Alligator mississippiensis: one gene and its partners. The protein of the gene in region 4 interacts with the protein of the main gene of each other region in a biochemical or structural test. Links are inferred from orthologs where the notes say so. Each region holds a gene or a part of one and is shown on either strand. Other genes may lie near its edges. The genes, in order: CBX3, CBX1, PCNA and TRIM28.

Evidence for each region.
Region 1: the proteins of TRIM28 (region 4) and CBX3 form a complex in vitro, tested with the Homo sapiens proteins (2 studies listed by BioGRID). The link is inferred for Alligator mississippiensis from reciprocal best matches to the Homo sapiens genes TRIM28 and CBX3.
Region 2: the proteins of TRIM28 (region 4) and CBX1 form a complex in vitro, tested with the Homo sapiens proteins (3 studies listed by BioGRID). The link is inferred for Alligator mississippiensis from reciprocal best matches to the Homo sapiens genes TRIM28 and CBX1.
Region 3: the proteins of TRIM28 (region 4) and PCNA form a complex in vitro, tested with the Homo sapiens proteins (2 studies listed by BioGRID, with this or other methods). The link is inferred for Alligator mississippiensis from reciprocal best matches to the Homo sapiens genes TRIM28 and PCNA.

What each region holds. Positions count from the first base shown.
Region 1 is NC_081828.1:156,758,032-156,765,701, forward strand, and holds the start of CBX3 (chromobox protein homolog 3), read right to left. Parts: upstream 3,021-7,670; 5' UTR 2,991-3,020; coding exon 2,925-2,990; intron 1,711-2,924; exon of another isoform or gene 1,684-1,710; coding exon of another isoform or gene 1,660-1,683; intron 1-1,659. Other genes in the region: HNRNPA2B1 (heterogeneous nuclear ribonucleoproteins A2/B1), read left to right, coding at 4,475-4,519.
Region 2 is NC_081827.1:167,748,317-167,755,229, forward strand, and holds the start of CBX1 (chromobox protein homolog 1), read right to left. Parts: upstream 3,011-6,913; 5' UTR 2,813-3,010; intron 1-2,812. UniProt on the Homo sapiens protein: Component of heterochromatin. Recognizes and binds histone H3 tails methylated at 'Lys-9', leading to epigenetic repression. Interaction with lamin B receptor (LBR) can contribute to the association of the heterochromatin with the inner nuclear membrane.
Region 3 is NC_081830.1:25,946,614-25,954,535, forward strand, and holds the start of PCNA (proliferating cell nuclear antigen), read right to left. Parts: upstream 3,003-7,922; 5' UTR 2,527-3,002; coding exon 2,306-2,526; intron 1,994-2,305; coding exon 1,896-1,993; intron 401-1,895; coding exon 333-400; intron 1-332. Other genes in the region: CDS2 (phosphatidate cytidylyltransferase 2), read left to right, coding at 3,233-3,316. UniProt on the Homo sapiens protein: Auxiliary protein of DNA polymerase delta and epsilon, is involved in the control of eukaryotic DNA replication by increasing the polymerase's processibility during elongation of the leading strand.
Region 4 is NC_081828.1:75,675,043-75,682,136, forward strand, and holds the start of TRIM28 (transcription intermediary factor 1-beta), read right to left. Parts: upstream 3,013-7,094; 5' UTR 2,872-3,012; coding exon 2,652-2,871; intron 1-2,651. UniProt on the Homo sapiens protein: Nuclear corepressor for KRAB domain-containing zinc finger proteins (KRAB-ZFPs).

The DNA of each region.
Region 1 (7,670 bases), about 81 Mb from region 4:
GGGCAAGGCTATTGTAAATATGACATACAAGTGCATATAATTTCTTGAGAGAAGTTCTTCTTTGGGCTAAATCTCCCCATCCCACCATTCTCTGAAAATGATTCTTCTTCTTGCTCTTATAATTTAAGAATCAAATCTCCTAGACTTCTAAAACAAAACACTTGAAGCAAGTGCATGAGAAAGGTAAGTATTTGGAAATCTTTATCGGACGTAACAGATTTATGTACGTCTCACAGGTACATCAGCAGATCTTCAAACTTTTCTTCTTGACCTTCTTTAAATTCTGTAATGTGCATTTTATACCATATGGCCCACAGAAAAATTGCTTATTCAGTTCAAATTTCTGCATGTTCTGTGGTTGCATGCTGTAATCCACATCTCAACCTACAAAAACACGCAACATTTGAAATCAACAGGAAGAAATGTCTCTAGAACTATCTGACCTCTTCTTCTAGGTCCCATCATTTTACACCAAAACCTGAGCATATTCAAATAAAGCGAACTTGCACTTTTTCATATTCAAAATTCACAGAAGAGACACGTACCTTCTTCAGTATATAATCACTCACCTTTTCATTTTATAAAAGTGAAAGATTATAACATTGAGGTAATATTGTAATAGGGAGGTTAGCTATATACAAGTGTCAGGAAAAAAGGGTCTCTTTCCCCTCCTATGAGTGTTTAGATCTACCACCACATTATTGAAGTTAGGGACTTGGGGAACTGGTATCTACTTGAAAATGTAGAACTTTAGCTTGATTAAGTATTTGTAAGCATTATTGACTGGAATCTGGTTGCAATACTCCTTAGAGTAAGTAAACCACAGCACTTAAAAGATAATGCAAACATTTAAAAGTTTACCTAAAATATAGTCAACTGCACAGTAACAAGCTTAATGGCATTTTTTTCCCACAACAGACAAAATTGTTCCTTTTCCAAAGCACACAGATTTGTTTGTCCATTTTTTTTCCCTTATTGGGTATATTTAACACTAGGCTTATGCACTTCTGTCCTTTGCAAACATGTCCTGTCATTTGTTGAGTGGACATCAGAACTACTGAGACATCCGCCTGCCCTAAATTCCAAGTTTGTGGTCCATCATTTGACAAACGATTCCACCATGAAAACTGTCCAGGTGAAGTAGACATTTGGTAACCTCTACAGTTATGAAACGCAAATTTGTTGTTCAATTAAACAATTTCAGTGGCAACCCTAGCTATACCCCATCACCTTACCTTTCTGTATTGGTATTTAATTTCAGAAATTGCTTGATTTCAGCAGTTTGTTCTAAACTCCTAGTGAAACATTAAGTGCTATTTTTATGTGCAATGGATGATATGGTGTGATGAAAGGAGGCTAAAAAAATTCAGTGTTTTCTGGTAATGGTTAACTATTATTCTAGTTGACAACTGGACAGCTGAAATGGAGTAGAGCCCTCCTTTAAAAAAAATTGAATGCATCTCATTAGATGGCAGATTTTTAAAGCCAAAGTCAATGTCCTTTCTCATAGCCTTACTTTCTGGATCTGAGATTTTAGTCAGAATAATGCTGGGGAGGGGAGATGTGGATGTATCTTTTACATAGAGATGCCAAGTTATAATTTTGAAAAAAAAATATGTTGGTTAAATCCTTAAATATTTTAGGTGTGCATGAACTTACCAATGTAGTTTTATTGGAGGCCATTTTTATTGCAGACTTGCAGAGCTTTTACTAGAAAAATGCATGACAATTAAAAGGAAGTTTACATTACTCAGAGAAAGGCATCTCAATACAAGCATGGTCCTTTTTCCAACCCCCATGTGTTCACTGTATATGACATTCAAGTGTGGATTCATCCAGAACAAAACTAGGTTGTTACTTTGTCTGGTGTAACCCAAGACCACATGGTGAAACTAGTGACATAAAACCTGCACTTGCACCCGTGGTTAAAAAATGTCCTTTTTACAGGACGTTCTGAGGCACAGGGATGTTTCAGAGGAAGCTGAGGACCACCAGGATGCCTTATATGCTTGAACCCAGAATCATAAGAACTCAGATTGGAGCAGTTAACCAGAAGACATAACTGCAAGCATTTGCAAGTTGCAAAAGAGAGATTTTTTGCTGGCAGCAGTTCTGCAATAGTGAAACAAGTAGCCAGAGTCCCCCGGGATCCTTCTATATAACAGTCAAGACACATCCAACCCCAAGGCTGCCACCTGATCTTGAAGTTTGCAAGCATTAGGACTGGGATGCTGACAGGGCCTATGGAGGAGTGAAATATTTAAGCCTAAAGATAAATGTATTGTTTGACTGCACCCAGGCCATCCCCCACCTCCCCTCCCCCCTCGTCCTCCATGTTGGGCCTCAGCCTGGCCACTTCTTCAGGGACCCCCCCCACCCCGAAATTCTAAAACGGCCCCGATTTCACTGAAAAAGGCGATGGATAAAGCTCCAGAGAAGGCCAGAAAATCCCCTTCGACTCAGCCCCGCCGCCCCGGGAGCCCAGGCAGCGCGAGGATCCCGGGCCCTGGCCCCGCGCGGCACAGCCCGGCCCGGCCCGCCCAAGCAGAGGAGGGGAGGGGGAACAAAGGCCCGTTGCCGAGGCCCGGGAGGGGGGGGGCGGGGCTGCGCCACGGGCCTGCGCTGGGTGGGTCCCGGGCGAGCGGGCGCCCCGGGGCGGCCTCACGCAAGGCCGAAGCTCCCCGGCGGCGGCCTCCTCCGGGCCCGCGGGCATCGCCACGTCCCCCATCCCCTCCCCGGCCGCAGCGCGGGCCCCGGCGCCGGCCAGCGCGCTTTGTCTGCCGCACACGGCCGCCCCGTGCCCTGCGGCTCCCCCGCCGGGGCCCCTCCTCGGCCGCTCCTGCCCGCGCCCCGTGGGGGCTGCAGCGGCGCCGAGAGCGGCGGAGCGGGGGACGAGAACGAGAGGAAGGGAGAAGGATACAGACTTCACGGCGGCTCCGCGGCGTCCCCGTCGCCTCCTCGCTCCCTGCGCGCACTGAGCGCAGCGGCATCCGCGGCAGGAGGGAGGGCGGGAGGGCGAGCAGGCGGGAGGCCGGGCGCGAGCGGGGCGGGGCCACGAGCGGAGCGGGGCGGGGCGCTGCGTGCCTGCGTGAGGGGAGTTGCCACCGCCGCTGCTGCTGCGCCGGCGACGGGGCCACAGCGCAGGATATCGCTGCTGCTGCCGCCGCCGCCGCGCGCGCCGGAGCTGCCGCCTTCCCCTCCCCCCAAGTGCCGCGCGGTCGCCAGCGTAGCAGCGGGCCAAGACGTCTCTCCCACGGGAGCCTAGCGCAGCGCCGGGGACCCAACCTCGCCGCGCGCCCAGGCGGAAGAAGATGCCTCGCGGGGACCGGGAGAGCGACTGGGTGAGTCGCCAGCGGGGACGCAACATGGCGGCGGCGGCTCCCGCAGCCACGGCCGGGAGGGAGCGGGGCTGGGCCGGGCAGCACAGGGCGAAGGAACCGGGCTAGGAGAATGGCGCAGGGCGGGAGCACTGAGGGAAGAAATCCGCTCTTAGTGGTTCGCCCTGAGGCGGGCGGACTGGGAAGGGCCGGGCCCGGGAACCGAGGAGTGGGCCGCGAGGGTTTGTCCCCGAGCGGCTTCGGCCCTTCCCAGAAAGCTGGAAGAGGGAGCAGCCTCCGCCGAGCTGAGCCGAGGCGCTTCGGCTCCGGTCGGCCACGCGGCGCCTCACGATTCCCTTTCCGGAAATGGCCGAAGCGGAGCGTGAGCTTGCCGGGTCCCGGACTCGCTCCTTCCGGAAAGAGCCGAACTTCCTCGGCCCAGCGGCCGCCGCCGTTTCGACTTTTTCCGTCAGGCGCCGAAGCAGAAGAGCTCGACGACGACGGACGCTTCGGCTCATTCCGGAGGCGGCCATTGCTCCCGGAGCCGATGTTTTTTTTTCCTTCCTTTTCTGCGGACAGTAAAACACAAAGGGGAGCTCGGTGCCACGGCCCAGTCTCTTCCCCCCTCTCGGGAGCCGCGCGCTTTGGGCAGGGCAGGGCAGGGCAGGCTGGCGTGAGGTGAAAACAGGTTGACCGCGAACCCGAATTTCAAATTGCGTAACGGCTGAGGCAGCCATTACTGGGCCTGTCGCGTGCGCTCGCACCCGGGGCCGCCCGCACCATGAAGAATATGGTACGTGCCTGGCGGCGCGCGGGGCTCGGCCGGGGGGAAGGGGTCGCGGCACCCCCACATCCCCTCCTTCCCCCCCCCCCCCGTGGGTCGCTAGAGCCGGCCCGGGCCTGAGCGACAGTTAGAGGAGGAAAGTTCTGGAAGCGCCGAAGGCGGTTGGGGCTGGCGCGGGGGGAGGGAGGCGGGGGAGGGGCGGGTCGATTGCCGGGACCGTTGAACCGAACGACAGCGGGGGGAGGGCCCGCGTGCCCCTGGCGACTGCCGGCCGCGGTGCCCCGGCTTTTAATGGCGGTAACGAGGCGGAGGGAGAAAATGGCGGCGCGCAGATAGGCTCGTGTGTGAGGAGGGCTAGCGGCTCCGCGCCAGGATGGGGAGGCGGGCCGTGAGCCAGGGCAGCGCCGCGGCCAAGCTGGTGAGAGGCGGCGTTGGGGGGGAGGGGGGCTGCGGTTTCCTCAGCCGGCTGCGGGTGCAGCCGGGCCCCGGAGGGCGGCGCGCGGCTTCTCGAGGGAGGCTTTTCTCCTGCCGCATCGCTTCCCCGGCAGGCGGCGGCTTGTGGGCGCCATTTTCCTTCTCCGCAGCCGAGCGGCCCCGGCTCCCGGCGCTGCCACATGGCTGCCACCTGGAGCGCGATGTGCTCGGGCCCTGGAGGCAGCGCGCTCCGGCGCAGGGGCAGGAGGCGCCGGCTCTGCCCGCGCAGCCGCGCATTGCTCGGAGCGGCCTCTGCGCCGCAGCTCCCGACCGCGCGCCGTTTTGGCGGGCGTTCAGCGCCGGGATGCGGAATCTTCTCCCCCGCCCCTCAAATTTCTAGCCGCCATTTTTTGGTGGCTTTGCTCTTGCAGCAGTTGAGACGAATTTGTTTTATCTTAGTGTACTAGGGCAGAACAAGGAGGCTCCCAGTAACTTGATAAGCTCTTCCCTTGCACAGGATACAGATGCTCAACCGGCTTTTCTTTTGGCATTTTGAAACAGTTTCCTTCCTCTCCCCCCCCCCCATCCAGATTTCATCAGCAAGCAGGTAAAAGTGAGGTGCAGACATTTTGCTTTGCCAAGTGTAAAACTGCAGTTTTCAGTATAGTGGGTTGGTTTAATTCTGACTTGTAAGCTAACATTCACACTCCCTAAAACTCAGGGGAAATAGTCTTAGTCCTAAGGCTCTGTCTTTGCTAAGGCAAAAACATTGTAATGAATGTGTTAAACATCCCAATGCATGCAACATATTTGGTGGCTGTCCAGTAAAGGTAAATCCTCAGAGGAACAAGAAGTAACACACTTAAGCATAAGGCTGAGTAACAAAGATCATTTGTAGGCTAACTAAATTAGAGATGCACAAACTTCCATGAGCCTGAGCTTACCTCATGAAGTGATGTGAGCATGTGCATTTCTGATTTGGTTAGTCTACCCTGCGTTTCTGCTTGACTTCAGAATGACTTGCCTACCTATCTCCCTCTAATTGTACGTTGTCATCAGAGTTCATATCCTACACGAGGCCGACTGCTTGCCTGAGACTTCACTTAAATGCATGTGTATACGCACGCATGCATGCAATGATATATTAAACAGTAATGTGAACCATCATTTAATATGGAGATTAATTATAGTAGTCTTTTCCCTTGGTAATCCCAATGGCTGCCTGAAAGCTTGTCTTACATTCCCCTTCTCTCTCCTCCCTCCCCCCATTATATAGTTGGTCCAGTAAAAGACATCACCAAAACTCTTGCTCCTCACATTTCTTAGACTAGTGGTTCTCATCCTTTTTAGATTCAAGATACCCCAAGGTAAACCAAAAGCGCTCTTGGACAGACTCATGGAACGCCTCAAAAAATGTCAGCTCTATTTTTAAAAGTAGTAATATTCACTACTTTTTTGGTTACTGAAAAATAGAGCAGTTTTATTTGTTGTAAAGAATTTGGAGACACCACAACTATGGATTTCTATTTGAAATCTCTGGGTGTATCTTGTGACTTATGTTTGGAAACCTAACAGTGCTAACATTGTATAGTACCCTTGAAAGGATGTCAAGGCATGCCACGAGGCCACGTACTGTGGTTGAAAATCACTCCCTTAGATCAGCATTTCCCAACCGTGGCACATGGGTGTGGAGCCACACCCCCTGCCCACTGATGCTGTGGACACGGGGAGCATGGCTCCAGCCCAAAATGCCATCCGGCTGGCTGCACACAGCTTCCCCTGTCCCCATCCAGTGTGCTGTTTGTGCTTTTTTTATTCAGGTAAATGTGCTGTGGGGCAAAAAGGTTGGGGGGCACTGCCTTAGGCCATGTGGGGCTACATGCTCCAACCCTCCTTTCCTAGTTGTATTATTCCCATATGGCAATTGCTTATATTGGAGAAAGTAAATTTATTTGTAGTTGTCTTGTAAGGAAGTTGTAGCCTACAAGCAAACCTTACCAAGTGTCCTGCACCACCAATGATCCACAGGCTTGTTTGAGAACCAGTAGTGTAATTTTATTCATTTCACTTTTTTAAGTGACTTAATGCCTAACTTTTTCTAGTAGGTATTGGTTACAGAGTTGAAATTGCTCTGGTTTTGTTTTTTTGTTTTTTTGTTACAGTAACATAAAATACCTATAGAATTAGTCTGTTGGCATGCCAAATGATAGTGATTTGATCTAAGTTTTATTAGTACTTGCTTTAAATTGTCCTCTTCCTTTCTTCAGTTCCATTTAAAGTTTTGTAATGTGAAAGGGTGGTTGGTGAAAAATTCATTAAAATCTACGTGTTTGCAATTATTTTATGTTGTAATAGTGCAGGTATTCTAGTTGACTGTTAGAATTAGGCCTTTAGGCTTTTTTTTCCCAGTGGTTAATGCACTTGGCTTCTTGGGCTAATTTTCCAACTTTTCAAATGCAGAAAATGATGCTGATGTTCTATTAAACTGTTTGAATCTTGATTAAAAAGCATAGTAGAAGATGTATGTGATGCTGTTATTACACTGTTGGCAGATGCAGTATTCATTTTTTCTAAATAGTTTTCTAGGGGTTTATTGGGGCCCATGTTTGCAATACATGATTCAGTTTTTTCAAAAAGTCTGAGTACTACACAACTCAGGCTCTGCAGACAGTTCTAAAGAAGTACAGGGTAAGGCTGTAACTTAGAAAAATGAACAGTGCAATTTCTGCAATCTGAAATTATAGTCTTGGTTTGAAGTCATTATCAAAAGCTGTTTTGGCATTGCTTTCAGTGGTCCTTCTTCCATGTCTCACACTAGTTGAAATCCTGCCTAGGCAGCATCAAAAAGCTTTTATTAGTCTGAATAGTTTATTGGAAAATAAGTTGAAGTGATAATCATTTTAAAGCAGGTTACAAACACATTTATAGACAAAATTGGCAAGTCTCTCTTTAGACTAGTTCTTTTTTATTTTTTTAATTTTTTTTAGGGTTGGAGAGAATAGGTAGGGGAGAACTTGCACCATTTTATTAGTGCTGGATTAGCCCTTCAGGTACATTCCATAAGTAGGGACTTTCCAAAATGTAGGTGGCAGGACAGGTGATTTCATGGTGCTGACTGCCATTTACATGGTCTCTGCGGAGTGGGCTCCCTGAAG
Region 2 (6,913 bases), on a different chromosome or scaffold from region 4:
TGCTTTGTGCCTGGAAAAGAGCTCAGTGCACTGAAAATAATTTTCTGACAAAGATCAAAATAGATTTCTACTGATATTTCCCACTCTCACCTGACATCACCTTAAGACCTTAAAGTTGGGGTGAGGTTGGAATTCTTTATAAAGGATAAATAAAACACTGGAGGGAGAAGGGCCTTCATGTCAGCAATTAAACCAAAAATACACATGCCTCAACTGCTTGAAAAGAATTTAAACCCCAATAAAAGGCCACAAAGAAAGAGGCCCAGCACAAAAACGTATACAAAACTTGCTTTCGTGGGACAAGAATAGCAGATGCAGGAGCAAAAGCCAGAATCAACGACACTGCAGAACATGCATTATTGCAGTAACTCAGAGACAAAGAATCTGGGTGTTGGGCAAGAGGCGAAAATTCTTGTGGATGGTATCTTTTTGTGGACCAACTGCATGGTTGGGAGAGGCAAGCTTATAGATATGATAGTATCCTTCTTCAGGACTGTGGGAACACAGCAAAGCTACATAGTAGATGGAAAAAAAGCTTGTGCAAAACACCTTATGTAAATAAAACCAGGGTATAAGAGAAACGATCAGGTAACCAACAGGCAAGAGAGATACAGTAAAAGCCTGGTAACAGAAGAACAAGGTTGTTCAGAAGGGTCATTATCATTTGTAATGTGCAGAGAATCGAGTACATCATAATGGACCATGAAATCACTGTCTGTCAAGTGCCTGGTACTTAGTGTCCAATTGACTCATACATTTTTGTTCCTTGCCTTTCAAAGGTGTTTAGTGTTGGGTGAGATGTTCTGAAGGCTGTGCCCAGGTACTGTGAGAGTTGTAAAGCAAACAAGACCATCAGCAACCATTTCAGATGGAAATGGCAGTGCTGTTAGCAAGAGGGATATGCTCCCAAGAATCCTTTTAGAAAGTGCAATAATAGAGGGGGAAGGCTTGTTTGTAGAAGCTTTCATAGTTTAAACTGGTTTAAATGTAAACAGTTTAAAGAGAGAAGATTAGGTCAGCATAAGCAGGAAATATATGATGACCCAAAAAGATTATCTGACCTATTTAATATGAATACATTCAGTCCAAGTGCAGTCACTACATTTTACAGGTTTGCGACTTAAGTGCTACTTTCATGCTTTTAACTTGAAATACTTCCTACCGCCCTTCCTAATGTTGGCTAAAGTCCTACTCCTCTTTCAGGACTTTAAAAACATGGCATATGTATGTACCACTTGCCAGGAAAAAGCAGCAGGCATGTTTCTTTTGAACTGGGAAGAAGTGTATTAACATTTCCAGGCTCCAAAACCTGAAAAACTGCAGAAAGGCTTTTACTCAAACTTTCCAGAATTGCTAGCCTTTGAGCTGAAACTGTAGAAAGAAAGACGACCTTGGCTTCAAAGGGAATTTGAGTATGCATCCCCTCATCATCTTCAACTGCACTCACAACTTGAGAGAGAAACAAATCTCTGAAGCTTGGGAAAGTGTGCATAAAAAGGTAGAAATACTGCTTCTTTGCAGAGAAAAGCAAGAAGGAATTCAAAGACAGGAGTTCTCTTTAAGTTACGCTTTCTAGGTTCTACATGAAAGAGCAGCAGGCACACACAGAGGTACTCCTATACTTCCAGCTAATCAGGGAAATGCTGGCAGAGCCCAAGCACAGACTTGTGTTTTACTTTTTTAAATTAAAATAAATTTGGATCTGGAGACGCTACAGGGGAAACAGCGATTAAAGTGGTATGTATTTCCCAAGTACCCAGCACCTCCATGAGTGGAAGACATCTCCGCACCCATAAATATTCTTATTCCCCCTGTTTTAATGGTACTTTCTTCATTCAACGCTGTCGTTTTTAGTATTCAGCGGGGCAGGTCTGAATAGCAGTTTATTTTTCAGCCCCCTCTCCTCCCCACTACACTCCAATGCTCTTTTCCCTGTATTACCAGCACATCCAAGCTGCCTTCACTTGCCATGCCTACATTTCACTTGAGTAGACAGCGAGATTAAACCAGCCTAGTTCCGTTTCTCATCAGTTTCACTACCTGCATCTCCAACACAAACAGGAGGCTGGATTTGGGTAGGAGACCTAGCAGCGGCTGTTCAACCCCATCAGAAACATGCTGCACAGAAAGGCAGCAACACAAACAGTCCCAGAGATGGTTCTACGGTGATGCTCAGGCTTAGAAGCACTCCCCACCCCTCCCCTTTTTTTTTTGTTTTGTTTTTCCTCCTCTTTTGGTCCAAAAAGAATAAGCCCTGCTTTTGTGGGGTTTTTTCCTCCTTGGGAGCTGGAAGAGCAGAACAGCCCCTCGACCTGAATCCTGACTCCCTGGATCCCACAGTGGTGGCTACACGCCGGCTTGGCACCTCCAGCACAGTTCTGCCACCTGCAAGACCCCCAGATAGCATCACCCCCTCAGGAGTAGCTCCCATCTCTGCCATCCCTTACCCTCTCCCCCCAGGTTGGTTTTGCTGCAGCACCAGCCTCCAGCCCCGCCCCCCCAAGCACCACCTCACCCAGGCGCGCAGCCCGCCCTGCCCTCAGGCAGCTGCCCCCTCCCCCCTATCCCGGCGCAGCTCCAGCCCGCCCCTCCCCCGGGAAAGCCCCAGCTCCCCAAGGGCGGGGGGGCTGCTCCCCACATGCCCCCATTGCACGCAGCCCCCCCACTGCAGCTCTACCCCCCCGGAGGCACCGCTTCGTACTTGCCCCCCCATCCTACAGCATCGCCAACGCCCCCGCGTGCAGCCCCGCCCCTTCCCCCGCGGGGGCCGCGCCCCGCCCCTCCGGTGCTCTCCCCCCCCCGCGGCGCTCACCTTTCACAGCCCCGCCAACAGCACCCGAGGGGAAACGGCTCAGCGCGCGGGCAGGGCGCGGCGGGGCGGGACAGGGTCGGACCGGGCTGGGCAGGGCGGGTAACGCTCCGGTGCGCGCGGCACCGCAGGCCCGGCCGCTAGCAATCCGCCTCCGCCAAACAAAAGAGCCCCGCCAGCCCGAGTGCCCGCCGAGCGCACCGCGCATGCGCGCCAACCCCCCTTCCCTCAATCTCCGCTCCTGGCTCACGCGGCATGCTGGGAGGCCGAGTCCCACCGCCTCCCGCGCGCTTTCTACCTAGCGGCCTGCTGGGAGTTGTAGGCAGGGGCGGGGCTGACATGCCTGCGCGCGCCGAAGTGGACGCGGGGTGGGGGGGAGTTGCTGAGCTTTGCGGTAGCGGTGCTCATGCGTGGCGGGCTCCGCGTTGCTGTTTGCGTCCCGCCTTTAGTGAAGTCAGGTTGAGGCGGGGTGGGGAGTTCTCAATGAGCCAGCGCGGAGTAGGAGGGCGTAGTTGTATCCTAGGGAGCTTTGGAAATGCAGAACAGCATCAATGAAAATAACGACAGTAAGAATAACAAAGCAATGATGATGCTTGTCACTATAATGTTAGAGCAAAGCGCGGGAACACAGCCCCACAGACTGGAGAAGAAGCCCCCAGCTCCGTGCAGCCCCATGTCCTGCCTCTGCCACTGTCCTCAAGAGTGGTTCTCAACCTTTTTTGTACCAGGACCCATTTGTAAACATCGATGGCCAGTCCTGACCCAGTGCCCCTCACCGCCGACTCTCTGCCCCCCACCCCCAGACCCTCAGTGTGTGGGGCAGGGGGGCATAAGCAGCCCCTTGCAGGCTGGACCTTTGCCAGCCTGCCAGGGATTCCCGTTTTTCACCTTTAAAGGAGAACCCATTTTTAAAGTTCATGCCTGACCCTTTCATGTATTCTTGCAACCCACTTTTGGGCTGCAACCCACGGGTTGAGAAACGCTGCTTCAGAAGGAGCTGTAGGCAGTAGGGCAAGAAGGCAGGGATGGCAGAAGAGAGGGGGTTTCACCCCACCCCATTGTCTCAAAGGTGCCTTGCTAGAGCTTAGAGACTGACACAAGCCCTCAAACATATGGTGTAATGCCCTCTTCTCATTTTCTCTGTTGCTATTTATGTCACAGGGCATATTTGTGACCCCAAGCCTTCTTGAGGTGACTTGTTCAGCCATCTAACACATAGCATGAAAAGCATTTCCTGGCCGCTTGCTTTGAATTTTCTACCTCGTCATTCAACGTGTTATGAGACAGGGGAACAGAAGTTGTTGGTCGGCCTTATGCTTGAGAACCCTATGAAAAAGGTCTGCAAAAAGACTGCTGTGGTTCTTATATTTTCTTGAAATCTTACACCTCCTAGGAGCCTAACTCAATTTTAAAATGGTTGGGGCTGATGAACCATGCAATGACACACAGGTGATGCTACATAGGATAACGTGCTCCTACTCCACCTTAAAGCTCCATACCTTTAGGTTGTATTGTTCCATGATACCATAGACATAGACCAACATGCTATAATCACAGGGGTGGGCAATTATTTCAGCTGGAAAGCATCTTAATGGGCAAGATGTAGCCCTGCCCCTTGACAGATGCCCCACCCCCTGATCGCCATCTTGGGACCAGAAGTCCCACCCCTAACCCCTGACCTTTGCCACCTGAAGTCCCTCCCATTGCCCCAGAAGTACTCCTTTTGGGAGGGAAGGGGAGTTGCTATTGTGAAACTGAGGGGAAAAAAAATCATATACTTAAAAAAAAACAACCCAAAACCCCCCCCCAAACATCTGTTATAACATTTTAATTTTCATTAAAAAATATTTTGTCCCGATTTGTGTGTTTGCATAGTGTATCTAGAGGTGTGCGCCCACCTGACTTCGTGGAGCCTCTCCGATGCGGCTCTGGAGCACGCACTAGGGGCCTGCCACGCAAACGGCTCCTGCTGTCATGACATGGGGTCATGTTCTTCTCAGGGGACACCCCAGTACTTTCCTGCCACATTTTGGGTGTTTTGTTCAGTAAGGCTGTGCGAAGCTTCAGTTGCTGATTCGATTTGGCGGAGATTCCATTCAGATTCGGCCACCAAATTGGGCTGAATCAGAAGACACTTTAATCTCTCTGAATCAAATTGGAACCCTCCAAATCGAATCAGAGAGATTTGGAAAGATTCAGCAATTTGGACGTACACAGCTTTAAATGTTTTTTCTACATACTTCAAGGTACCAGGTGGCTCATAAACGCTGAGAAGCTGGGGCGCATAGAGTATTCCAAAGGAGCACGGGGCACTCCCCAGCGCGCTTGGCAGCAGACCTGGAAGTGGACCAGAAGCACATCCAGTCCACTTCCAGGTCCACTGGGAAGCACACTGGGTGTCCGCCCCCGCCCCGCAGCTCGGCAACTAGTGCCTCCTGGTTCTGGGGGGGCATCCAGGGTCCACCTGCGGTTGATTGAATACAAGGGCCCCTCCATGCTCCTGTGGGATGCTCCATCCACCCCAGCATCACAGCATTCACAAGCTGTACCTGGTACCTCGAGGTATGTAGAAAAAACCTTTAAAGCTGTGTCTGTGGCCGAATCGCTGATTCTCCAAATCAGCATCAAATCTTCAGATTCGGATTCAGCCAAATCGAATCGGGGACAGTGATCTGAATCAACGAATCAAATCACGGTCCCCCATTTGGGATGAACCTGAATCTAGTAGGGCCTGCTTTGCACAACCCTAATGTTCAGTAGTAGGGTTCCCTTCTGTCATGGGGAACGCACTGGGCGTCATCACTAGCAGGCGTTCCTGGGGCTCCACCTCCCCTACACCCCAGCCATGCACCAGCTCATCAGAACTGCTGAATGATGGGCAATTTGGCTTCAAATTGATGTGGTATCCCACTCCCTCTCTGCCTCTCCAGTCCCCAGTGTTTGCAACAGTCTTTCTTCCCACCACACAGGTTTGCCTGGGGCAGTGTGATGGCCTCGATGATGGGTCTAGTCTATCCACGTTCAGATCTTCTAAATGGCCCTGGCCCGCTCAACCCTCAGTGTCTGCCCTTTGGCCTTGTCTCTGGCCCCAGGGCTTCAAGGTAACTGAAATGTAACTAAAGAACCACAATTCCAGGGAAGGGTCTCTGGCCACACCCCGCTCACGCGTCCTATGTTTGCCGGCATCGCCATTTCTCAGTGTCCTCCTCTGGGCCAACTCCCTCGCTGTCCAGGATGATGTGGCCCTTTAAATCAGGCCTTGGACCCTCTTGCTGGGTCCCTCTCTGGCCCCTCCTTGTGTGCATCCAGGACCTCCATTCCAGTGGCGGGGGGGCGGGGGCGGGGGCAGTCCCACAACTACCTCCCTCCTGCATCCCCACCGCCGACTTGTATCCCTGCCGGGCAGTGTTCCTGGATGACATCATTGGGCCGCACCGGCCTCAGCTGCAGAGAAAAGCACCCCTCTGTGGCTCATCCAGTACAGCTGTGCCTGAGGGAGGCAAGTTTGCCCTTTTCTCAGGCCTTTTTTTCCCATTGTTGCAGTGGGTTGTCTCCACCACGACCCACGCCTGGGGGTTCTTATTGTCCCCTTGGGTCAAGGTGATTCCATAATAGTTCAAAATACAGCCTTACTCTTGTATATTGGGTGTGGGAGGTGTAGATATAGTGGGTAGGTGTGGGTGCAGGGTATGTGGTGGCGGAGGGTGTGGGGGCATGTTGGGGGAAGGAGGTGTGGGGGAGCATCCTTGGAGTGTGAGAGTCCCTTAAGCTGCAGGTGGTGGCAAGCCACCTGCCTGGCCCCATAACACGCAACTCCCACCCAAGTCGCTGGCTGCACATGTCGGCAGTGTGCGGAGCCAGCCCCACCCAGCCCAATAATGCTCCTGTGCAAGTCCCTGGCCACACATGGTGGCAGCATGCAGGGCCAGCCTAGCCCCATAACGTACAGCTCCTGCGCTCCCACCACGGTCCCCAGCTGTACATGGTAGCAGCAAGTGGGCTCAGCCCCACCCATCCCCATATGTGCTGCTGCAACATGTAGGGCCAGCCCCATCTTGCCCCATAGCACATCGCTCCCCACATAGTTTCATAGTAGGTAGGGTC
Region 3 (7,922 bases), on a different chromosome or scaffold from region 4:
AGCTTTACCTTCAGTGGGCATAGCCAACAGGGGTCAATTAGTGCACCTCTCTTTGTAAAAGGAAGTGCTTAAAAAGGTAGGTTACAAAACGCACTGTCCTCCTGATCATGCATTTGAGAACTGAAGAGCCAAGTCAACCACTATCCACAGTGATCACCACTTCAAAAACTCTAGGCTATTCCTAATGCTTCCCATGGGCCATCTTAAAACTATCCCACTGAGGTGAGGAACTGGGAACACAGAAAATTTTAGAAGCCTTCAACATTAACATTTTACTCTCACTTATGAGTATTAGCAATTAAATTTAGCTCAGACAAAACAAAATGGCTTACTGGGATGCCAAGCTGTTCCACATCCAAATCCATTAGTTTCATCTCATAATCGGAGACCTTTTCTTGATCTAGGAGAAAAACATCAAAATACATCTGTGTGTTTGGTGAAGCAAAGTTAAACCTGTGTTTTGCAGTTAGATCCTCTTAAACTTTTACACAGAAAAGAAAAAAAGTGATATTCATAGATTGTAAGGCTGGAAGGGACCTTGGAAGATCATCAGGTCCAGCCCCATGCACCAAGCAGGAAAGATAACCGAGGGTCAGGTGACCCCAGCAAGGTGACTGTCTAGTCTCCTCTTGGAGATTTCCAGGGTAGGCAATTGCACCATCTCTGGAAGGAGCTTATTCCAGGCTGGACACCTCAACTGAAGTTTTTCCTAATGTTGAGCCTGAATCAATCTTCCAGGAGTTTGTGCCCATGACTCCTAGTTTTCCCCTTGGGTGCCCTATCAAACAGCTATGAGCATGCCACCCCACCCCAAGTCACAGGACACAAGACATTTCTTGGTGCAACTACACAAGTATCCATAAAAGCTTCTGGTCATTTAGATGATCGTCATCTACTGTACTCAGCTAAAAAAAATAAATAAATAAATAAATAAATAAATAAATAAATAAATAAAAAAAGTATACACATCACACAAAGCTTTTGAACTAGGTACTAGCATAAACCAGATGAGTGGTTCTCACACCACCCCATCATGGCGAAGGGCCTTGACTTTGGATGCCACTTTATTTTGTACAATTTCAAAGGCTCATCTGTATACTACAGTGCTCAGCTGCTTTCAGGAGAACCAATCAGTGAAGATGGAGAGGAACCAGCCAGACAGAGACAAGCCTGAGCCTCCAATTATCTAATTATATCTGCATACCTCCAAAATATCTGGCAGCACTTCAACACACTGCGGGACCCTGGTTGTGACTCAATGATTCAAGTGTTCACTTCCAGCCTCATCTGCCTATTAACTTAATAAGAGGCACTCATTTTAGTCTTCAAGTAGTGCTGCAAGTTCAAAAACTGACACTTTTTTTTTTTTTGAGGGGGTGTTTATTTTTATGCGCATGTGAGCTTTTAAGTGTTTCCTACCTTTGCTGAGGCAAGGATTTCATAGGGTGATCTCTTTGATTAGATAAACAGCACAGGATAAGAGCTAGACAAACTTTTGGAAGCAAGACATTTATCAGGCCTCCTGCATCCCAGCTGTACAGTTGGCCCAAGAGATGACCTTACAAAATCCCTGCCTATCACCTCATTCTCAGACCCCTGCAGCTCCAACATGGCTTGAGGCACCATACCTGTGAGGACTCATCTGACTTCTTTGCTGCTCATGTGACCAGACTCTGGAACTGATTCCCAGCGGAGGTGGTGCAGACACAACCTAGAGATCTTCACAAAAGTTTAGGGCTGGAAGGGACCTTGTGAGAACACAGGGGTAAAGGAGACTAGATGCACACCCTGCAGGGGTTGTTTGAACCCAGTAGTGTTTCTTGTCCAGGGGCTGGACCCAATGATCTCATGAGGTCTCTTCCAGTCCTAAACTTCTGTGAAGTACAGGTACTTACTTGGGGCCTCGAACACCAGGGCCAGGGTGTCTGCATTGTCTTCTGCTCGCAGCGTGATGATGTCTTCGTTGCCAGCACACTTCAGAATTTTGGACATGCTGCAGCAAGGGCTAGACTAGTTAGACCAGCCCAGGCAAGGCATCCTGACCCACCACATCCACTCTTCCTCCCCCCAAGCCCTGCAAGCCGTTTCCAGGCCAGAGGAGCAATGCACTGCAGGGGCCACATCCACCCTTCCCCTTCCCACCAGGCAGAGCTGCCGAAACTCCTCCCCCCGCAGGGGTTCTTTCCCGCCACTGCGCGCGGGAAAACCCTGAGCGCGGGGCGCCGGCGTGACGTCACCGCGCACGCGCGCGGCACAAACGGGACAAGCGTTGCGCTCCAAGCCCCCACAACCGCCCCCGTGGCACCTGGTCAGGTTGACGCCCATAGCGATGTTACGGTCGCAGCGGTAGGTGTCGAAGCCCTCGGAGCGCAGCGTGAGCTGCACCAGTGAGACGTGCGAGGAGTCCATGCTCTGCAAGCTGATGCCGCCCGAGCCCAGGTCCCAGCAGGCCTCAGTGATGAGGTCTTTAAGCGCCTCTAGCACGCGCTTCAACACCGAACCCTGCACCAGCCGCGCCTCGAACATGGTGACGAGAAAAAGCTACTAGACTGCTGCTTCTCGGGGCGCGCCAACGGCTCTCTTTATAGCGCCTCTGACCTCACGTCCGGGTCCCGCCTCCCCGGCTTCTCCACCAATCGCAGCAACCTGAAGCCCCGCCTCCTTGCCGCCAATCTACCGATCCGTGCCCACCAGCGGGATCGTGCGCGAAAAATGAAAGCTCCTCCTTCCGGCCAATCAGAGCCTGGGAGTCACCGGTAGTTCCGCCTACTTGGGATTCTGGACAGAATCCCGCCCACGTGCTCTGCAACCGCCAATCCCCACGCAGGTAACAAGCAGCGCGTTTCCTCCCACCAATCGAGGCCGGCCTTACAACCCGCGTTGTTTCACAAGGCTGCGAGGGTCGGCTGCTCGGCCCTGCCTCTGGGATGCTCCCAAAGCAAGAGTGCCGTGCCCAGGGGCTGCTACAGGGAGCTTCACGGCGTCTGGGGGATGGCTCATGTACAACCGCCATCGGCGTACGCCTATCATGGCAGCCACCACAGGCCGGGGAGGAGGAGGAGGAAGAGAAGAGTTCCTACATCCGGGTCAGGAGGGGCAGGGCGGGGCGAGGCGAGTGGCCTCGCCTCCTTCCCGGCTCGCGCTGCTCCCATTGGCTGCGGCGGCGCCAGGCGGATGGAACGCTGGGGCCTGGGCGCACGCGCTGCTGCTGAGGTTCGCAGCGGGGCTCAGCATGAGCGAGCTGCGGCAGCGCCTGGGCCGGGAGCCCGACGACAAGGTACCGGGGCGGGGCCTGGCGCCTCCCGCCTGCCCGCAGGTGTAGTGAGGGCTGCTCGGCCCGACCTTGCGGAGCGCGGGGGTTGCAGCGGGGCGGGGCAGCGGTGCAGTGCAGTGCAGTGCAGTGCAGTGCAGTGCAGTGCAGTGCAGTTCATCTGGGTTTGTATGTCGGTACAGCTCGGGTGGCTGGGGCGTGGGAGGCACAGCCTCAGTGCATCCCTGCCTGAGCTGGGCCATGTAAGCGTTTGCTCCCCGGGCGTAGCTCCCAGAGCCCAGAGGGATCCACTGCCAGGGCACCACTAGTAATGTGCCAAATGGGTTGTCAGCTGCACCCTAGGGGCCAGCTGGCTAGGGAGAGCTTGCATGTTGACTTCTGTATGCATAAATGCTGGTAGCATCACACCCTTAATTTCCAAGACCAAGATGAAGATGTTTTAGGGAACCAGGCTGTAGCCAAATTCATCTCTCCTCAACTCATTAATTCCTGTGAAGTAAAACACTAACTGTTTAGCAAGGCATTTCCACTCTCTTTGGCTGCAAGACGCCACGTCTAAGAGCGGGTACTGAGTTGCCATGGGATTGGCCCAGCCTGGTGCTTCTGGAGTCTCATGGGACTTGAGGCCTAAACCATTGTTAAGATGGGGTGAGAGAGCTGTTCTTTCACTGTACGCTATTACTGTACGTGCTTCTGCCAAAGCCCAATCCAGATGCTTGGAGAAATAGAGCTAAAAGGTTGGCTGTCCTTCACTAAGTCATTTGCACTCTCACCCTCTTAAAGGGTGCCCCTTGGAAGATGTGAGCAACTAAAAGCATGGACTTTCAAGGTAAAAGTCCTATTTTGAAAAAGTCTTTGGGGTTCTTTGCCATTCACAACCCTATGGGCCTCAGGAATCAAGCTGAGGGGGAAATTGTAATTACTCTTGGCTGTTTCATGCTCTTACCTTGGCCTTGTCAGCTACCATTTGGCTTGCATTTATGTTAGAACAAAGTTCTGGTTCTAATTCCAAGACAGCAGTGGAGTGCTTCAACCACGTAACCTTGAAAAGGTGAAAAGCTTTCTGTGTCAAGTAAACATCAAGTGATCACTTGAAATTCTTTTGTTTTTTTTCTCAGCCGAAATCTTTGCATTTAAAATTACTTAAGACATCCTTTTTTAGCAGCTAGCGCAAACTGTAAAATAAAGCATCATCCTTGGGTCTAATTACTTTCTTGGTTGCTATACAATTATAGAGCTGGAAGAAATGACTCTAGAAAATGGGATTGCTGGAAGCTTAACTTTTGATGAAGATGTAAAATGCCTGACTGCCTGGTAACTTGTAAAGCTTTACGGTGTTTAAATTTACCGACTTGGTTTAGCTTTGCTTTTCTATATTAAACAAGAGTGGATGGAAACTATCACCCTCTTGATAATTGACTGTTTGCACTGCATTTTTGCACTGTAGCAAGGTGACTTAACTCTTCCTGTGCCTGAAGAAGGATGTTTGTACCTGAAAGCTTGCAAAGAACAATTTTTCCAACTATAGTCTAATAAAAGATATTGCATTTACCTAAAGAACCTTGTCTGCCTATGTCCTTAGACCAGTACAGCTACAACCAATAGCCCTGTTGTATCCTGGTACTTTTGTGGGAGTTGGAATGCTTCCTTGGGAGCATTGGTATTGCTCAACTGGTATGCATACTCTCAGCAAGCAGAGTTGTCTTAGCTATGTGGGACACAGAAGGCCAAAGGGCTGTTTCTTAAAGTCTGATCTCATCAGACCCAAACCCCTGATCTCATCCGATGCATTTTTACATACAACAGGATTCCTTTAGTTAGCATTTAAGTAATGCATCCAAAATGCTCTCCATACAAGTTGGGGTTAACTGAATATCCTAAAATAATTTGAACAAACACAATGCACAGGGCCAAGAATTACATCAGCCCCACTGCCCTCAAACAAAATGTTGAAGCAAACCCCTCTCCTTCATATTCCATCGCTGACCTGCTGCCACTGACTGAATTTTGTATTCAACAGAACATGGTATAGAATAGGCAGCAAAGAACATCCTGAAGGCTGAAGTTGGAGTGGAATGTAACTGTCTGAACTGCTGAGTTGGCCAGTATCTCTCCTAATAATAATGTATTCCTTAAAACCGCACAGGGTCGGGGTCTAGGATTAGGAACTCTTGGAGGCTAGCATTGTGTTGTCTTCTGGTGTCTGCAAAGTGTCTGTAGCATACTGTGGGCATACCATCAATATACAAGACAGCAATTCAGTGAAACCTGTGCTGATACCTTAAGCCACTAGCAGGAGGTCTTCTTGAATTTTATCAGGGATGTCCCCTGTTCAGACATCCTTGTGAGTCTTCCTTTACTTACTTTGTCTCCCAGCCATAGCATAGCCAATAATATTAATTCTAGTACAGTATGCCTGTTATATTTCACAGCAGGGGAGGCTGCTTTCAAAAGGACACTGAATTTGTAAAGAGAAACCAAAAAGAATGCACTTGGTTTCATTTTTTTAAAATAAATTGTTCTGTTAGTTTTAAAACTAAAACTGGAAAATTCTTAATCTGGCTTTTCTGCCTTAGTTTTCATTTAGCTCATCTTTGACAATGGAAACAGGAAGGTGTGTTTCATTTTGTGGTGCTTCTTTTGCTAAGGTAGTGCACTAGCTGTGCTGTTGCCCTTTACAGTGCTCATGGGATTGTGTAAATGCGAAACCACATGAATGTTACTGAAATGAAAACCTCCCCTTAAGGTAGCTTGCAAAAGAAGTTCTGACTGTAAAAGGTCAGCATTATTTTACTCTTCCCTTCAGATCACAATTTAACATTTGATTAGGGAAGCTTGAATTGTGACTGCTACCCTTGGAATAAATAGGATTTGAGTGATCCTAGCTGTCTTTTTCTAGCAAATAATTCACTTGAAATTAGCTAAATAGATAGCATTACATGAGCAACCAGGTATTTAGTTTCCTGCTGTTATAGAATAGTTCAAGATTCTCATTTCCTATTTTATAGAGTTATTGTTTTACTCTGTAAAATTCAATGTCTTCTCTATTTGAGAAACCTTAAAAAAAAAAATAAAATTGAAGTCATGCTCCTGAGTTGCAAACATCGTGTTTTCACCTCCAGTTTTGAAAACGAATAAGGGCATAAAGAGAGACTATTAAGGATGCACTTACTGTGGGGTTTCAAACAGTGTTGTTTCTAAAACTGAAATTGTACTGTTTACACTGAGCTCAGCTTTGGCACAGGAAGGGTTTGGTTTAGTTTTGGATCCTCCACTGCTACCAGCTCTTTGTTGGGCATGGGGCCCGGAGTTTTTTCAAGGGCCGGTAGTTCACTCGGCTAGTAGCCGTAGGAAGGGGGGAAAGAGGGATCCGTGGCATCAAGAGGCAGAATCTTCTGGGCTTTGTGTCTCAGTGTTGCATCATCAACTTGCAGCTTGTCACAAATATTCTACACTTTTGGTGGAAAGTGACCCACCTAATCATGAGGGGAACTGCTGAAGCAAATGAAAACGGGATATTTAGCATGTGTGCTGCATGGAAGTTGGGTATACCAGTTATGCAGATAGAGCTTTCCACTGAGATGTGCAGCCCTTTTACTTACCAGCCACTAACTTACTGACCCTGATTGCTAAAAGGAATAAGCTTAAATATAAAACAAAGGATAGAGAGACCTGGGAGTCAGGATCCCAGGGGTTTTCTTGTTAAATTAAGAATGGGCACGGCTTCTAGCGTGTTATGAATGGACTTAGTGGTAAGGATGCTTGCATTCTAGTTCCAGCTGTGCTGTAGATATAGTTAGACAAAAGGCCACAGAGCAAGTCTGATTGCCAAACTTAAGTTCCTTGTGCCTGGTTTCTATCTGGATATAGGCTATGACACTCACCTACTTTAGAGATTTTGTGGTGTTTATCTACTGCACACAAAGGGCTTTGAGAGCTTCAAGTTATATCAAGTCTGGTACTATAGTGTAAAAGCCAAGAGATGTGATTTATTTTGTTATGTATAGCAGAACCCAGAGCTCCCTCCATGTCTGACTTGCACCCATTCTCCAGCTGTACAGAGAAGGAGAGCGGAGGAGCTGAGACTTGCTGTGTGGTTAAGGAAGGAAAAAAACTGACCAACAAGGTCGTCTTAAATGTTTGGGTAACTCGGAAGCCTCATAGAGTGTCCTCTCCCTGTGCCTGAAGAAGAGTGTTTGTGCCCAAAAGCTTGCAAAGAACAATTTTTCCAACTATTTAGTTGGTCTGATAAAAGATATCACATTTACCCAAAGCACCCTGTCTGCCTCAATCACAACAGGCTTAAGTCTCTAGATGATGGCTGTGGTTGTCTCAAGAGGCTCTGATGATTCAACATAAGTATACCACAGAAATGATGTTTATTCTAGTTCTGAGCCATGAAGGTGAGAATGCTGGGGGTATCTGATGATTTATGGATTTTTGGAAATTGGATATTCCAGTGGTAGCCACTCTTGCTGCTGGTCTGACATGCTGATCCACTGCCACTCAATCCCCCTGCCTACTTATCTGTACTGATGCTCAAGTGGTTTTTATCACTAGTGAAATCTGGCATCTGGTAGGGCTCACAGAGCAATCACACCCTTTGGGTAACTGCAAAAAGCTGGTTTCTTTGGTTTATGCTCTCTCTGTC
Region 4 (7,094 bases):
TAATTGGCATCTTCCAAGTCCATAAAGATAACAACTGGCTCAGTCCAGTTGCCAAATCTTGGTAAAACAAAGAAATTGACACACCACCAATCAAAGAACATTTATTAAAATAAACCATGTACAAATATTAGGTGCAGTAAACAAAAGATTTTGGGAAAACCGAAGCAAATTCAAAACAACCTGGTAGCCAGTCTGTATGCTACCTTCTTCCTCCCTCCTATACCAGCTGTACAGGCAAGAATCTGTATTATGCTGTTGCAGATAGCTAGGCAGACAAATGCTTACTCCTGTGCTTGGGCTGTAATCAATAAAAGGTTGGCTTCTATAGACCTGGTTTACCTCTTTATCCACCTTAAAGCTGATACCTTACCTGTTAAGAGGAAGTGGAGAATCGTTGGGAAATGCAAGTGTATCTTGATTTGGTGTAAAAAAAATAAAAATAAATAAAAAACATTAAAGCAATTATAACTGTCCCTTAGTTCTGCCTCTAAGCTTGCAAAGAGGTCATTATTATTACAGGCTACAGGTATGTAGTCTTGTCTCTGGAAAAACCAAATGGTACCGTGTTTTTGGTAATAGGTTAAGAATCACACCCCCTAACCAAAACACTCAGTACAAAGCCTATACAAAAGCCAGGCCCAAGGCACATTTCCTTAAGGAACAGCTATAAAGTATAGGCTTCACACCCACTTAAATGAAACACTGACTCTAAGAAGGCTTCTCCTTGTAGACCATTTTCTAGGCCATAGGATACTTTGTTGGTTCTCTCTGGATGGGAGTAAAGCCCCTCAGGGACACTTAATGGTCAGACCAGAATGTAACAATAAGGCAGTGAACACATCCTGGGAGGGGTCAAAAGTCTTAAGTGATTAAGAATGAATCCTAAATACCCTTTCAGTGTCTCCTCAATTATGGTGCAACTTCCTGAGAAACTTGGAATTTGATAAAAATGCCTAAGGAGTGGGGAAAATTAACTGAAATGATAACACATGATATAAAGTGAAAAAAGAATATCTAGCTGTGTATACACTGTGTTAATATGCAACTGAATGGTTTAGAAAATAATGTATAGAACTGCATGTTTTCAGGAGAACTTTGGATTTCTGAACCTGGGTATTTATCATTTGGGTTGACCAGCCAAATGACATGAATGAAGACTACTGGTTTTCAATCTGTAACAAGCCTGCAGCAGCAAGACTAGGAAAAGCATCCCTGGAAGCTGCAACATATTTTAACAGAATAAGTTGGCATAACTTAAAGGCAATAAAAAAAAAACAACCCAAAACCAAAGGAAATTGTTGTAGGTAAAAGAATGCTAGGAAGAGGGGATTTTTCAGCTCTTAACCAGAAGGTGCTAGTCAGCTAGGTAGCCAACAAGGAGACTAAACTAGGTATTTTAGTTTGCTGCATTTTTAATACTGTTTTATACTACAGATGAGTTAATAAAATGAGGTAATAAAATGCCATGTGTCCAAAGATGGGATACCTCCAGCACTGGACAACTGTTCATACCGAGGTTCCTATCAGTGAGTGTAACAGAGACCCTCACATCCTCAGAACCAAGTCACTCAACCTTGGTTAAGATCATCTCTAACAGGCTTGAGCCACCTGTTACAGACTGTTCAGACTGCAGCACGAATCCTCTCTTTCTATGAAGTTCACAAGTAATTTTACCGCACATGTTCCTGTTACACATTATTTATATTGCACTGCTCCATGTTTTTACAGTCTTCAACAAAGCTGCCTCACACGCTCCTTTGGAGGACTTGGTTTCTTTAGTACAGGTGCCCTGAACACCCCTAGCTCACCTCTAGGTAAATCAGCATCCTTCAAGAATGCCTTGCACAGTTTAGTTGCAAAATCAGAGTCCCACACTAGAAACTTTAGCTGGAATAAAAGCAGCAACAAGGAGGCTTTCTTCTTTTTTAAAAAAAATAAGCAACTGAGGAAACGTGTATGCTGGTACTGCAGCTGAAGCCTTGTCACAAGTGAAGGTTACTTGGACCATTACCAGCTGGTGTCTAGAAGGGTGCAAGTGGACAACACTCTCCAGCCAGTATCTCTAGGGGGAGGCAGGAAGTCTCTAGCACTCCTGCTGAGCAGCGTCCCCTTTCCAGCAGACAGAAGGCCCACGGCCCGGAGGCCTTTGGCTGGCTGCCTGCAGCAGGCCAGGCCAGGCCCCACCCCTTGGCTCCGGCCCACAAGCCTGTGGGGCTGCTCCCCAGCAGGCGCTGAAGCTGCCAGCCCTGCCCCTGCACTCCCGGCCCGCAGGAAGAAGGATGGAGGCAGCGGAGGCGGAGCTGGGCGTCGGGGCTGACCCCGCACAGCCGGGGATCGGGAGGGATCCCCCCTCCCCCACGGCCGGCCGCCAATGGAGCTGGGCCGCAGGAGGCGCCGGCCCCGCCAGCCCAGAGCCCGCGGCGCAGCGGGGAAGGCGCCCGGCTCGGGAAGGCGAGGGGCCGTTGGGGGTAGCCCGGGAGACCCGCCCCCTCCCCCTACACCGCGCAGGGAGGGGCGCACTCCGGCCCGCCCCACCGCACCGCGTGGCGCCCCTCCCCCCGGCCCCGCGCCATCACCCTCGGGCCCCCTCCCCCCTCGGGCCGCGCCGCGCCGCCCGCCCCCGCGGCCGCCCCGGCCCCCCCGCCGCTCACCTCGCTCCTCTTTGTTGGCGGCGCCGGCGGAGGCGGGCGGCTCGGGCTCGGGGCCCAGACAGGCGCGGCACACGGAGTGCAGGCAGGGCAGCAGGCGGGGCTCGCGCTCGCCGCGCAGCCGCTCGTGGCACACGCCGCACTGCTCCACCAGGTCTAGCGCCTCCGCACGCTTCTCCCCGCCGGGGCCACCCGCCTCGGCCGCGGCCGCTGGGCCCGACATCGTTGCACCGCCGCCGCGCTCCGGGCCTGTGCAGCCGCTGCGCGCCCGTCGGCCCCTGCAAGGCCGCGCGCCGTTGCTCCGGCTCCGGCCGCCGCCGCACACAAAACAAAACGCCTCAGACAAGGGGATCGGCGCGCGCAACCCCCAGCGCGGCGCGGCCCTAGCCCCGCCCCCTCTCGGCGCGTCACAATGCCCGCCTAGCGGCCGCGGCAAACCCACCCAATCACCTCTCAAAAAGGCGGCGGAGAGGCGGGGCTCCAAGGCCCGGCTGGGAGTGGGAAAGGGGGAGGGGAGGCGGCCATTGGTCTCCTGTACGTACCTGAGCGGGCGGGCTGTAGCGTAGGCAGTGATTGAATGGGAACAGGCCAATCACTGAACGGCATCAGCGGGCGAGGGCGGGGCTGTAAAGAATGACAACTTGCTGGACCAATCCTGCGTCTTCTCCCCTCCTGCCTGAGAATGATTTAGGAGGGACCCCCCACCCCGCGGGAAGAGTTTTCGAGCGTTCAGTGAGCTGCTGCCGCGTGGAAAGGGCCTGGCGGGGCTGGCGCCCAATCACCCACCGAAGCTGTGGGATTTACAGGGGGCGGTGCCTGTCGGCCTGGGAGGGCCGCGGTGACTGACAGGGCAGAGGGCCAATGATCGTTTCTGATGGACCTTCTGCTCCCGCCCCACCTCGTTGGAAGTGTTGAGCTCCCCCTCCCCGCCCCACGTGCGGCCTCGGTGGCTGACCTAGGATGGGAATCAGGAGTCACTCCAGGAAGCCTAGCCACAGGCTTGCCCTGTCCTGTCCTGCTGGTCTGACCCCACTAAATTCTGCCACTTTGATTAAAGCTGCTTAAATTGAAGCCGCTTAGAATTTTGGCGGACTAGATTCACCTAAGGCGGGGTCTGTTCCACCCCTTCCCCTCAGGCCCAGAGCAGCCCTCCAGTTTCCAGGCCGGCCCTGCCGAGCGCTGCGGGAATTGCTGCTGCAGTAGGCCGCTCCTGCACATGACACTGCCTTGCTCCCCTCAGTCATTCTGGCTTCACCCCTGCCCCCCCCCCCCATGCCCAGCCAAGCTGGCTGTCCCTGCCAGGGAGACGCCTCCTTTCTCAGCCCAACCTCGAGACCTTGCTGAAAGCACCCAGGGTTTCATTCCCCCCCAGGGATGCCGTGTCTGAGCTGTACCTGCTACAGAGTGACTGAGGGCCTTTGGTTGGACGTTACTTTTTGGATGTTTGAAGAGGATGAGGCAGCCTCAACCCTGCCATGAGTCAGGCTTCACAGTCACAACTTTCTCATTAACAAGCTAAGGAAGTACAGGCCGCAGGGAAGTACTGCAAGGTGGATACAGAACCAGTTGGATAATCCTTGTCGGGGTAGTCCTCAGTGGCTCAGTGTCTAGTTGGGAGGAGGTATCAAGTGAGGGCTGTCCTGGGTCCCAGGGTTCTTTAATATCTTCATTCATGATTTGAAGCATGGGATCCAATGTGCATGTAGCAAATTGGCGGATGATGCCAAGTTGGTTGGGATTGCCACCTAGGATCTAGAACGATCTGGATGGATAGGCTGGAGAAATAAATGGTTCACAAGCAATGAGGTGAGATTCAGCAAGGACAAGTGCAAAGTTCTGCACTTGGGACAGAATAACTGCATGTACAAATACAGATGGGGAAATGATTTGCCATACTGCAGAGAAGGGCTTGGCAGTTATGGTAGACCATAAGCTGATTTTGAGCCAACAGTGTGCTCTTGCTGCAAAAAAAAGTCAACATTATACTGGGTTGTATTAATAGAACTATCACTTGCAAACCAAGGGAAGTGATTCTTCTTCTCTAGTCAGCACTGGGGATGCCTCACCTGGAGTACTGGGTCCAGTTTTTGAACTCATGCTTCAAGGATATGTACAGTTTGGACATGGGTGCCTGGTGCCTCTTGAGTCAGGCAGGGCACGTGCCCCCCTGACACCAGTCAGCAACCAGGGGGTTCCCTGGTGGCTGATCCCACTGGCTGGGGAGGGGAGTACTCCCCCGGTGGCCAATCCTGATGGCTCAGGGGGGTCCCCCAGCACTCACAGGGGGGTATTGGTGCTCCTGCCTGCCACCCTACCTGCCAGCTACACAGGGAGCATGGCTTGACAGGAGGTGCACCGGTGCTCTCAGGGGGTGCACATGCACCCCCATGCACCTCCTATATGTCGCCCCTGAGTTTGGAAAACATCCAGCAGAAAACAACAAAAATGATGGGTCTGGGAGACGAGACTTATGAGGAAAGGCTAAAAGAACTAGGACTATTTAGTCTGGAGAAAAGAAGACTGAGAGGGGAGTTGGTAACATTCTTCAAATACCTGAAGGGTGATTCTAGAGAGAATGGAAATGGACTTTCCTCTGTGGCTTCAGGGGACAGGATTGGGAGCAATAGCCTCAAGCTTCAGCAAGAGAAATTTAAGTTGAAGATCAGGAGGAACTTTCAGACTATGAGAGCGGTCAAACACTGGAACAGGCTACATAGGTTGTGGAATTGCCATCCTTGGAAATTTTCAAAAGCAGGCTAGACAGACACTTGGTTGGGATGGTTTAATCAGGGATTGTCCTGCCTTGAGCAGGGACTTGGACTAGATGACTTCGTAAGGTTCCTTCCCATGATCCTATGAAGTCTTTTTTTTTTTTAAAAGAGAGGAAAACAGGGATGGCAGGAGTCATTCATCCTGACTTCTGAGTCTGCAAGGTGCCCTGGGTCATGCTTTTAAGATTTTCTCCATCACTCTATTACTCCCAGTCATTGCCCAATGCTGCAGCAGTCTCGTCCTTGCTACTCATTAAGCTGCAGTCTCATCTTGTGTCCTTGGGGCTTAACACCAGAACCTGTGGTAGCAGCTGTGGGATAAGTGAGGGTAAGCTGTGAACTCCCAAAAAGTTTTTTTGCATTACACCTTGGGAGCACCTTTGCATTTGCCGCAGGCTTCTAAGATGGTAGACATACCAGCTGCTGGCTCCTGCATGGAGAGCCATGTCCATCTGTCACCCACAAGTACACAGGCTGTTTTCAGCAACTAGGGACTCCAAGTTCAACTTGGCAAAGATGCTCTTCACTTGAACTGCCACTGGCTTTCTGTAATTTGGAGCCTGCCTCTCAGAAGGAGAGGGCTGTGGTTGGACTCTGAACCCTGATGGTCCCAACAATCTCCCCATTATTGCAGGTTATCATTGACATGGTCCTCCTCCATATCCAGAATGCCAGATAAGAGCATTCACTGAAAACATTGTCTTAATGCTGGAGGAGATGGTCTTGCTTCACAACATCATCTCCTGGAAGGCCAAGTGAATCACCAGTACTTTTCTTCCTTTTTTATGTCCTTGTGCAACCAGGTATTTGCCAAAATTCACAGATTCCTTAGAATCTGACAGGGCCACACACTGAGTGCTTCTGCTATGGCCTCACACTTACAACCTCGGGACTGTCAACTTTGTACCTTAGCACCTGTGCCACCTGAGCTCCCAATTACCAACGCTCAAGGGAGTGAAATGGTTTGCATTTCAATCAGAAGTCAAGGTAGATATGAACCTTTATATTAACTAAATCAGATCTATATCTATGCAGGCATGAGCAAACAGAAGCTTTTGTGAACCCAAGTTCATTTAATCAGATGCTGTGAAAGGATGTGCAGAAAGCAGAGTGGAAGGAGAGAGAAATTAGTGTACAAAAGACAAAGGAAGCTAGAGAGATAGGGAGAAGATGGCAATGCTAGGAGAGAAAACCAAAGATGCAGTAAACCTACAGAAGAAAAAGGGTTACAAAAGCTAATCCAGGTAATGAGATAACATAGTCCCAGTTTAAACCATACTTAACACAGTACAGTTTGTGGATGATTTCCTGGTTCTGCAATTTCCAGTTCATACTGGTTTTTATTTTGTTTGTTTGTTTGTTTTTTGTCTGAGAGCAACAATCCTGAAGTCAGCAGGGATGATGGATTGAAGTCAGCAGGGAGATTAAAATATTCTGCCATGGGCTTTTGCAGACAGCAGCGGGGCATTGTAAGCAGGTGATGGTGTATTTGACAGTAGAGTTGTGGGTGAATGTTTATTTCAATGTCAGTAGTTGGGGTGGAGTGTTGTAGCTATGATGGTCCAGGAAATGTGTGACAAGGAAGAGTTTTTGGAAGAATATTTATTATTAGATCAACTGTATTGTTGGGAGAGATGTTAGACATGTGATGGCAGACATGATCGGCATCACTAAA